Linked DNA regions of Arabidopsis thaliana. The protein of the gene in region 2 interacts with the protein of the main gene of each other region in a pairwise test. Each region holds a gene or a part of one and is shown on either strand. Other genes may lie near its edges.

Region 1 (6,368 bases), on a different chromosome or scaffold from region 2:
TCACATTCCAAAGATGTAAGGAATATGAAACGAGTAATAAAAGTCAAGATATAGTTGGTCTACATAAACTATACCACGTATTCGTTTATGTAAAAAAGGAAGGAAATTAGTTTAAACCTGATAGGTTTCTTCTTTCTCTCCGAGCAGCAGCAGGCAACAGTAGAGGCTTTAATAGCTCTGTATCAGCATCTCTGTGTCGCCATAATATTGACTATGATGGCATTTTTGCACAGGAGAGGGCAATTTGGACAACTTTAAAAGTCTATCCCCTTATTATGCCTACGCATCAGCACTCATTGAACAGCTAGCCTTGATGAGTGTATCGGACACATCCCTATCAAGCGTGAATCCTTTATCCATCATCTGATCCCAAACCTTGTAGGCTGCTGATAATTTTTTTCCCCGTATGAGTCCTCCGATAATGAACTTGAAAGTTAATTCATCAGGACAACATTCTTTACCTTTCATGTCCTCAAACAATTTTATAGCTTCAGTTACTCTACCAGACCTGCAGAGGCCACTAATAAGGGAGTTGTATGAAATCGCATCCGGTGTAATTTCGTGCTCTATCATGTCATTAAAAACACCATAAGCCTTGTCCACATTTCCGGATTTACACAAATGGTCCAGGATTGTCGTGTAGAAAATGCGATCTGGTGACAGACCTAACTCTGTCATCTGATCAAGAAGCTTCTTTGCAACGCTAGAGTTACCTTCCCTAAGAAAAGCCTTGATAAGACTCGTGTATGTGACCACATTCATTACCATCCCTTTCTGTCTCATCTCCTCAAAGAGCCTGTAAGCCTTCCTCGTGTTTGACGCCCTACAGAATGTTTCGATCAGAGTACTGTACGAAACGACATCACAAAAACCTCTAGGCTCCATCTCCTTTACCATGAAGTTATAGCACTTATCAGGATGACTAACCCTGCAATGCCGCTTAAGCAACTGGTTATAACTATAAGCATCAAGCTGTATCCCGCTTCTTACCATCTCAGCCATCACCCCTTCCGCTCTCTTCAACATATTGTTATCATAATAATAATTCAACAACACATTGTACGTAACAAGATCCGGCTCACACCCAATCTTACTCATATATGATTTTAAAGCTTCTGCCTTTTCTATTCTACCCGCTTTACAAAACCCACTAATCAACGCATTATACACCACTGTACTAAGCTTAACTCGTGCACTTTTGATCTCCTCCGCCACCATCTCATAAGCCAAATCAACTTTCCGAGCATGACATAACCCAACAACAAGTGCTGCACATGCTTTATTATCCGGACTAACCCCGCTACGAATCATTGCATTCCAAATCTCAACAGCATCAGTAACCTTACCAGCTCTAAATAACCCATTAATAAGTATAGTATAAGATACAACATCAGGTTCCCTACCTCTCTGAACCATACAAAAGAACGTCTGAACAGCAAAACCTACCTTATTCTCTCGACACAACAGATCCAAATAGACATTGAACGCCCAGATATCTGGTATGAATCCAAGGGTTTCCATATCACTCAGTAGAGCGTCAATGAGATCAAATTTTTTAACTTTACATAAACCCGAGATAAACCTTGAGTAAGTGAAGGGGATGAGAGAAAAACCCATGGGCTTCATATCCCAATATATTGCCTCAGCAAGCTCAAATCTAGACTCTCTAACCAAAACCCCGATGAAACGATTATAATCGAAGGAGAAAACTCGGTAGCTTGAGTGACGCATTTCATCGAACACCTGAACAGCGTTGTCAATCATACCTGATTTAACGAGGTTAGCTATACGCGAGCGGTATGCAAGGCGTACTGCGCCCAGCGTCTGATGCATATCAGAGCTCGACGCATATGATCATATCACCGTTGCCTCTTCTTTGTTTCAATGCGGCGACATCAGATCGACGACGACGGCTGGTCTTGAGCTTAAGCTAGAGGGAAAAAAAAAAAAAAAGAAGACGAAGGCTCCAACATTAATTAATCTGAGGCTTTCTTGATATGGGCTTAAATGGGCTTTAAATAAGGCCCAATCATATTTTACTAAAACCTCTCTGTGAACGAGAGTGTTAGGTTTGGCTTTCAGTTTCTCCCCTTCTCCTTCTTCTCCGTCTTTGGAGCTCAACAGGGGTTTAAGGATTTTCTCCGAAAGCTCAAAACTTGAGTGAAATTTCTCTCATTTTACTTATCTGAAGTTCGTCTACGATGGAGGAAGAGAAGGTGAGGGTTCGTCTGGTGTTTGAAGACCGACGGATTCTGAGTAAGTATCAAAAGAAGCAAGGTTTAACACGGAGCTGGGTTGTTCTAAATCGTAAATGTCACCGAACTATATCAGAGTTTTCTGATCATATCTTTCACACATTTAGCCTCTGTGAAGCGTGTCCTCATGGCCTCTCTCTATCTGTACGTTATACTTCTTTGTGCCCTAATTTCAGAGAAATCAAATTTGTCAATGTTGACGCCATTAATGCTTACATTATCTTTCGGGCTTTTCAGATGGAAGGTTTCGTTTTGCCACCTTTCGAGTCCAGCTGTGTATTGAAGGATAAAGATATCGTTTGGTTAGTTTCGTCAATCTCTTAAAGCTTTTTCCTTTGAGCTTTACTAAGTATCATTAGTGTTAAATTTTGCGCTTTTTGTGTAGTGTTAAGAAGAAGAAAGAGTCTTTGTTGGAGATTGTTGGGGAAGACAGTGATGAGAATGTTTACAACGCTATTGAGGTTGAGGAAAGGCCTCAGATTCGTCCTGGTGAAATGCTGCTTGCTAATGAGGAATTCCAGAAGGAAACTGGAGGATATGAAAGTGAGTCTGAGGAAGATGAGCTTGAAGAGGAAGCAGAAGAGTTTGTGCCAGAGAAGAAGGCTTCGAAGAAACGTAAAACTTCAAGCAAAAACCAGAGCACCAAGTAGGATCTCTACGAAAACTTATTCTTAGTCACCTAAATGTCTATTTGTTGTTATTCAAGTTTGAAGATAATGTAGGAGGAAGAAGTGTAAGTTAGATACTACTGAAGAATCTCCCGACGAAAGAGAAAACACAGCTGTTGTTAGCAATGTTGTGAAGAAGAAGAAGAAGAAGAAATCATTGGATGTACAAAGTGCTAACAATGATGAACAGAATAACGATAGTACCAAACCCATGACCAAATCAAAGAGGTACGTAGACTTTTGCTTTGTCAAAACTCGCTTGTGAATCTTTAATCCTCTTGAATTATCTCTAACTAGTCATTTTTTCCATTTTCTTGCTTTTGTGATTGCAGGTCATCACAACAAGAAGAGAGCAAAGAGCATAACGATCTGTGCCAACTATCTGCTGAAACTAAAAAGGTTTGAGTTTACTTAGTTGTTGCAAGGAATTAGAATGAACAATATGTGTAGAGTGTAAAATTCCTTGATGTTTGTAGATGCAGGGATTGGCTTTTGTTTCACTTACTCATTTAGCTTCCTATCAGTCCTTCACTCTTCCTTATTTTTATTTTAGACACCTAGCAGAAGTGCCCGACGTAAAAAGGCGAAACGGCAATGGCTGAGAGAGAAAACAAAACTAGAGAAGGAAGAGGTTCTTCATCAAATACTTTAAACTTAAAATGATAAGATTTATGTATGCATCACGTGTTTTAGTGATGTACAGCCTGCGCTTCAACACTTATATCTTCTTTATTGTTACATGATTTGCAGCTTCTACAGACGCAGTTGGTTGTAGCACCCAGCCAAAAACCAGTCATCACTATAGATCACCAAGCAACCAAGGAAAAGCACTGTGAAACTCTTGAAAATCAACAGGCAGAAGAAGTTAGTGATGGTTTCGGGGATGAAGTTGTACCTGTGGAAGTGAGGCCAGGCCACATACGCTTCAAGCCTCTCGGTAAATTATTATGTAAATTTCTCTCTGTATAGCTTTTGTGCGTTTGCAAGGCTCCTCACAGTTTCCCTTATATGCTTATTTTTCAGCTGGAACAGATGAAGCCTCTCTTGATAGTGAACCTCTTGTGGTATGACTTGACCCTATGTTTGTATCCTTAAAGCTTTGCCTAAGCTGAATCTGTAATGATTATGTCTAAATAATATTAGGAAAATGTCTTGTGGAATGGAAACATGACGAAGAAGAAGGGACAGAAATGGGGCACAGAGAAGTCAGGGTTTTCCAAACGATATGCTCAGGATTTTAATGAAGATGCTACGACACAGCCCGCTGAAGCAGAGACACTTGCTAATTGTCCGATTGATTATGAACAGCTTGTGGCTTACACTGGCTCAGTAAAGGTTTGTTTATAGTCTTTACTACCCCCAGCAGGTTGTTTATAGATTCAGCATTTTTAAACTCCTTAACTCCTGGTTTGTTAACTTTACAGAAAGGAGATGTTATTGCATACCGCCTCATTGAGTTAACATCATCTTGGACACCCGAGGTTTCCTCTTTTCGGGTAAAATTTCTGGCTCTCCTTTTAAGCCAAATTCGATCAATCAACGCTTATTCTGAGGAACTTATCCACTTTACAATATACTTCTTTTGATAGGTTGGGAAGATAAGCTACTATGATCCAGACTCCAAGATGGTGACTTTGATGCCTGTTCAAGAATTTCCAATCGAGAAAAAGACAGAAGAGGACGACGATTTCTGTATGCAACCTGATACATCTCTTTATAAAGAAGATGGATCCCTGGAGGTATGCTTCATGGTTTACATTATGTCATACATATCTTATGAACAAGAACATTCTTGTAGTTGTTTGCTTGCTAAGCATCAGAATTCTAATATAAGAAAGACTTTGCTTCTGCAGATAGAATTTTCTGCTCTGCTCGATGTTCGCAGTGTCAAAACTAGCAGCTCAGATTCTGCAGAAGTCGCCAAGTCAGCACTGCCCGAGCCTGACCAGTCAGCTAAAAAGCCAAAGCTAAGCGCAAACAAAGAATTGCAAACCCCTGCAAAAGGTAAATTTTCCATCAATCTTGGATCGACATTGTATTGAAATAGATGGAGTCTTATCTACTTTCATTGGAATATTGCAGAAAATGGAGAAGTGAGCCCTTGGGAAGAACTAAGTGAAGCTTTAAGTGCAAAGAAAGCAGCGTTGTCTCAGGCCAACAATGGGTGGAACAAGAAAGGGAGTTCAAGTGGAGGCTCATGGTCTTACAAGGCACTGCGAGGCAGTGCTATGGGTCCTGTAATGAACTATCTCAGATCTCAGAAAGAGATTTGAGAAACTAGGTCACATCTCTCTAGAAGAAACTCTGCTGCTTTTGTCTTCATTTTGGATATGAAAAACTCAGACAAAGGGTAGAGAAAGCCATTTTGTTTTTGATGCTGTAAACGCACAGTTTAGCTTTCTAAGGTTAAAGGTTTATGTATAGAGAAAAACGATGAATGTGTAATACTCTCTCAAGATCTTTTTGAATTTCACGTTTGAATCCATTCAAAAATCTGAAAAATGAATGTGTTATATATCATATCCATTTATGTCTTCATTTTCTATAATCACCCGATTTAAAGAAATGGATGCAATGTATATGTTTTGAAGTTGGTGGGAAAAACAAAGATAAATAATTTGATAAGAATTGGCTAAAAACAAAGACTCATGACCGTTCGTTTCCTGTACAAGTCAACCGTCACTTGCTAACACGTCGCGTGAACCACAACGGCACAACGTTCAAGCCATTAACTTCCTCGTAAAACTGATTTCTACGTGTACCACACGCTCCAATACGTCGCGTATTGCTATCTCTCTTTCTCCGTCCATTGCTCCTCCGTTCCGAAACCTACAAACAAACCAGCTTCACAAGGAAATAAATCGATTTTTACATATAAAAAATTTCATCTTTAGGCGACGACGAGAGAATCTTTAGATTCGATTTCTCACTCGGAGCTACTTTGAATTGGAATCTTTAGATTCGTCACTCTCAATTTCTGTCCTGCGTTTTTCAGATCTGGGGGAATCTCCGAATTTGGAATTGGAAAATTCACAGATGTCGAAACCTTGGGGTGGAATCGGCGCATGGGCTGATGAGGCTGAGCGTGCCGATGAAGAGCAAGCTGCTGAAGCTACAGCCACGGCGGCAGATTCACAGAGTTTCCCGAGTCTGAAAGAGGCTGCGACTGCTAAGTCTTCTAAGAAGAAGAAGAAGATGACTTTATCGGAGTTTACCAAAGGAGCATACACTGCTCCGAGTTCTGCTGGATTGACGAGAGAGCAGATGCTTCAGCTACCTACTGGTCCAAGACAACGTTCTGAGGATGAAATGCAACCTGGTCGTCTCGGTGGTGGATTCTCTTCTTATGGTGGAGGAAGGTCTAGTGGACCTCCGGGAAGAATGTCACGAGATCGAGAGGATTCTGATGGGTCTTGGGGCGGTGGTGGTGGTGGGAGGAGATCTT
Region 2 (4,740 bases):
TCTTGCCTCTACTTGCTTGTCCCAAATCTCTCTTCTTCTTCTCCTTCTGTGAAAAAGAGAGATTCTTCCTATCATTCCGCAACTGCGCATTCGCAATCGTCTCGCCACCAGTAACCGCAGCAGCTCTTGTAGCTTCTCGTTCTTGATAACTTTCTTTCACTTCCTCTACTCTTTGTTTATCCTTTCCCGTAGTCCATGACCAATCCTGTTTCTCCATGGGAGCAGGAATATCAGAAAGACCAACAGCTTTGTAACCATGCTGCTGCAGAGATTCATAGTCAAAAGCTTTCTTATCTTTCTTCGCAAACCTCGCTGCAACCGTAAAAAAAAAAACAAAGTTACATAAAAGAGCTCTCACAAAGTTAAAACAATGAAGCTTTTCTCCTACCTATTGGCTTCTTGCTCTTTCTCTTCTTCTTCTTCTCCCCAATCTCTGTATTATCCACATTTGAATCAGAAGCAGAAGACGATGATGATTCCTCAGAAGAGTCTTCATCATCATCATCATCATCATCATCCCATCGCATCAAACCTTTCTTCATGATAACAACTCTAACACAGAATTGAATTCTCCATTAGTCCAATTTTACAATCCAAAAAGCTCAAAACTTTAAGAGAGAAAGTATTCAACTTTCCTGATTTCTCTTCAACGATTTACTAAAATCATTTCCCAATAAGACAAACTCGTCCAGCAATTCGAAAACAAATCAAGTACGAATCTTTGTAATCGAATTGAGAAACCCTAAATTGAATTGAAGGTTCACGAAGATACCACAAATCTAATTAGAGTATAACAAAAGCTTCGTACCTTGCCGGTGTAGTTGACGAAGGTAGGAGAACGATTCGCGGCGGAGACAGCAACAGTCGCAAGATCAGAAGCTATACTCGGTCCATGTCCGTAGAACCAAGAGAATAATATAAGTCTCGAATTTTCCAATTCAATTTTTGGTTTGTGCTTGGTTTGGTTTGGTTTTTTTCGGTTAATTCAATTTTAGGATTTTTCTTCGGTTTAGACAATTTAGCTAATTAGTAAATTGATCAGACGAACTTATCAACGTTGATGATGATATTACTATAGAGGTTATTTTATTCAATGGCAATAGAGAAGATGCAGAGGAAACAAAACAAAGAAACTAGAGAGTCAAATTAGAATCTTGTTTCAAATACCATCTTCAAATGCAAGAGATAGTAAGAGAGCTCAAAAGGTTAAACCAAGAAAGTAAAATGACATTATTAAGGTCGACGAGAATGTACAATCATCAAGAGGATCAGACGTAGAAGCTGAGGTAATTAGCAGTAGAAAGATCCACCAAATGTGTTCTCTCCACTGTATGTCATGTAGAGAAACCCGTCTTCGTCTTTGTGTTCTTCGTAGATTGCAGACATCAATGCCGCTGTTTGTAAGAACCAGAAAAGAGAGAAACCATATTTATACATGAACCATAGAAGTAGAAGATTCACACAAGGTTTAAAAAGTGTTAAAATCCTTTACCAGTTGGTGGTAATGTGTTCTTGACAAAGACAAAGATGGCTTTTTCAGCTCCAAGCTTGATTCTTTTCCTCACAACGTACACAAATTGGCCAATGGTTAGATCAGCTGGTACAAGATACCTAAAGAGAAGAAACAGGTGTCAGCAAAAAACATCAAAACCAGCAAAAAATAATGCTATGCAATTCAATCTCTGTATCTAGAAACTGCTAAACTGTACCAAGGGACAAGTTTTGAAGAATGAGAACTATAGTTAGACTCAAAATTTCATCAGCTAGTGATTAAAAGGATTACCGGATCATATCACATTTCCATTAGACTCAAAGGAGATTGAAAGCTAATTTGTGATTTGATACCATTATGATCCAACAAGAGAGATAGAGATAATATGTAAAACAAATTACTCACTTCTTCTTGTCAATGTCAGGAACATCACTCTGTCCAGCTTTTTCCACAATCACCTGTATTGAGTTCTCTAATTAGAAACTTAGGGTGACACTGTAAATCTTGTTCCGTAAAGTGAGAGTTTAGAAAACATACGGGAACTCTTTCAGGGTATTTCGCTCTGATACGAGTAGACTCAGCCATTCTCATCTCTGAAACCAAAACAAAACCATAAAAAATCAGTCACAACTAACGGATTATACAAACACATGAACACATCTTAGTGACATGTAATTCAAGTAACTTCCAGGAAAATTCCAGAGGCACAAGTACTAAATCTTTATAGATTCAACAACAAACTAGGTCTAATAACTTAATCGTGTTAATGTAAATCAATGGAGAATACAAACAGAGTAACCAATATCAGAGATCGAGAATCAGAACCAACAAACTCGTGATCAGGCTAATCAAAACTTGAGTTCCTTTAACAAAGATCATAATCGTAACACAATCCAAAGCCCAAAAGATCGAAGAAAACCAAAGAAGTAAACAACTATCCTTTAAACGCTTATCGAGTGACATCAATCAAGCAAAAACCCTACAGAAATTGCAAAAAGTAAAAAAGAAGAAACAAGGAAACTAACCCAGAGGATTAGAAAGCTTGAAGGAGTTCTTCTCCATGATGATTCGGTTAGTATCTACGATGATTAAGAGAAACAAAACTCGAAACTTTATCTGTTAGGCTAAATCGGGAAAAAAACCCAAACCACAAAAACTCGAAATTGACAAAGTGGAGAGGCGAAATCAAACGTACCCAAAAGACGAAACTAGGGTTCGATGATGATCAGAGGAAAAAAAAATGAATTTTGATTGTAGAAGAAGAAGAGGATCAAAAAAATGAAAAAAGGAGAGAATATATATAAAGGAAACAGAGAGGATGGATTTAGGGTTTAGTGATTGTTACCTGCACGGCACCCAAACTTATTACTTGGATTTTAATTAGTTACGATGCTTATCTTACGTCAGCGAGATGATACGACGTCGTTGGATTGTAGTGGTCATGAGTTTGTGAACTATTTATTGGGCCTTTATAGGTTTGGATCTCGTTTGGGCTTTTCTGTCATTTACATGATCAGGACTACTAGGCGTGGACAAATAAACCAACTCGAATATACCGAATCAAAATCAAAGCAAAACTAATTAAATCAAAGCAAACCAAAAATTGGAAAATATTCGAATGGATACTAAATTCTATAAATGAAAGAACCGAAAGAACCAAAACTAAATGGATACTAAATATTATTTATTTTTAGACTACATAATTAAAAATAATTGAAAAGATATATAAAATAGTAAAAATACTCGAAAAAATAACCGAAAATATTCAAAAATGATCGAAAATATCCAAAATAACCGAAATATCCAAAAATATTCAAAGCAAAATAATAGAATGGATATTAAATTTTAAAACTGAAAAAACCGATACGAATCAAACTTTCAAAATAACCAAATGAATACTAAACTTTAGAACCGAAAAAGTTGAAACCGAATAGATACAAACTGAAACCGAATGGATAACCGAACTATTAGGACTAAGGACTACAATTAACAATTTTAGTTTGTTCCGATTGATACCAAATTACCAATCATAAAGACATAAAAAGGGTAAGAAAGCAGCAGAACTGAAAACTATTTCTAACCACTATTTTTATTTATGTCAAAAGTAAGACTGGTAAAAAACAAGGTTAGAGGTTTTAGGTATATAAAAAAAACAATAAACAATACCAAAATAGTTACAACTTTTTTTTGTTAAAAAAAATAGTTACAACTTTTTTTTAAAAATCTCGTTTTTCAACGTTTTCGTCACTAGTAATAATTAGAAGTTTAGAACGGTAAAATACTGCAACCATACGAGATTACCAATCAAAATCTAACTATTTGGTTCGCCTACTGTTTTTTTTTTACCGTGTTGTTTTACTACTAATCATACCAATATAAAAATCTTTGCTTCTACTATCAATCCTTTTTCTATATTTAAAAGCATTATTGAAGTCTAATGTGATGTTTTCTCGTTACATTATTTTCTTCTCGATATCCCATAGTTTTAAAGTTTATTACATTTAATCACCTTTTTTTTGGTCTCGTTCACTCACCGCTATTAAATATCTTATAACTATAATCAAACAAAAAAACATTCAAAACTATTCATAAAAGAGTTCAAAGGAAAATCATGGATTCAATCCTTTATATGTACACCTTCGATATGTGAATATATGACATTGATCGATTGATATGGTTGAAAATGTCTTCAGAATTGGAAACTCAGCATTTTAGGGCTTATTTATTTTTGCATGAAATCGGCTAAATTAATGATATTTAGTAGCAGATTTGCCAAATACATAATTAGCCAAAGATGGACATAGCTAATATTAACAAAGAAAGAAAGATATCTAATTTATATATAACATTGTCGATAGCAAACGACAAAATCTTTCACCAAAACATGGTAAAGAACTCAACTCCAATTAAAGGTTCTAAAGGAGATGCCCCTCTCTAGGCTCTAATTTAAGATCATAAAAAAACCTTCAAAGAGAAACCAAAAACAACAGAAGAACATAAAACGGGACCCATGCATGGGGCTGACAAGTCATCATCATCACTATGATACTTATCTACTCTAAATAACACATTGAAAAATAATAACAACAATAAAGAAAAAAAAAACTTAACAAAAAGACTCTTGGTATAGTGATCCCCACATGATGATGACGACAATGACATTGATAATGATGATGATGTGGATACCATAAAGTTGAGTTTTTCATGATGATAATGTTAAACAAGAGTTATGGGATTCATATTCCATG

The links. Proteins that work in one complex are often made in the same cells at the same time.
Region 1: the proteins of ATG8B (region 2) and AT1G13030 interact in a two-hybrid assay, tested with the Arabidopsis thaliana proteins (one large-scale study listed by BioGRID).

The regions. Positions count from the first base shown.
Region 1 is NC_003070.9:4,443,112-4,449,479, reverse strand, and holds AT1G13030 (sphere organelles protein-like protein), read left to right. Parts: upstream 1-2,067; 5' UTR 2,068-2,201; coding exon 2,202-2,399; intron 2,400-2,492; coding exon 2,493-2,557; intron 2,558-2,640; coding exon 2,641-2,901; intron 2,902-2,977; coding exon 2,978-3,151; intron 3,152-3,255; coding exon 3,256-3,322; intron 3,323-3,476; coding exon 3,477-3,554; intron 3,555-3,673; coding exon 3,674-3,860; intron 3,861-3,946; coding exon 3,947-3,987; intron 3,988-4,066; coding exon 4,067-4,258; intron 4,259-4,347; coding exon 4,348-4,419; intron 4,420-4,512; coding exon 4,513-4,662; intron 4,663-4,776; coding exon 4,777-4,927; intron 4,928-5,005; coding exon 5,006-5,196; 3' UTR 5,197-5,437; downstream 5,438-6,368. Other genes in the region: AT1G13040 (Pentatricopeptide repeat (PPR-like) superfamily protein), read right to left, coding at 280-1,833; EIF4B2 (eukaryotic initiation factor 4B2), read left to right, coding at 5,960-6,368. UniProt on the Arabidopsis thaliana protein: Probable component of nuclear coiled bodies, also known as Cajal bodies or CBs, which are involved in the modification and assembly of nucleoplasmic snRNPs. Required for CBs formation.
Region 2 is NC_003075.7:2,327,373-2,332,112, forward strand, and holds ATG8B (Ubiquitin-like superfamily protein), read right to left. Parts: upstream 3,219-4,740; 5' UTR 2,688-3,218; exon of another isoform or gene 2,572-2,687; 5' UTR 2,555-2,571; coding exon 2,518-2,554; intron 2,086-2,517; coding exon 2,030-2,085; intron 1,951-2,029; coding exon 1,898-1,950; intron 1,612-1,897; coding exon 1,493-1,611; intron 1,395-1,492; coding exon 1,291-1,394; 3' UTR 1,070-1,290; downstream 1-1,069. Other genes in the region: AT4G04614 (uncharacterized protein), read right to left, coding at 1-312, 389-542. UniProt on the Arabidopsis thaliana protein: Ubiquitin-like modifier involved in autophagosomes formation. May mediate the delivery of the autophagosomes to the vacuole via the microtubule cytoskeleton.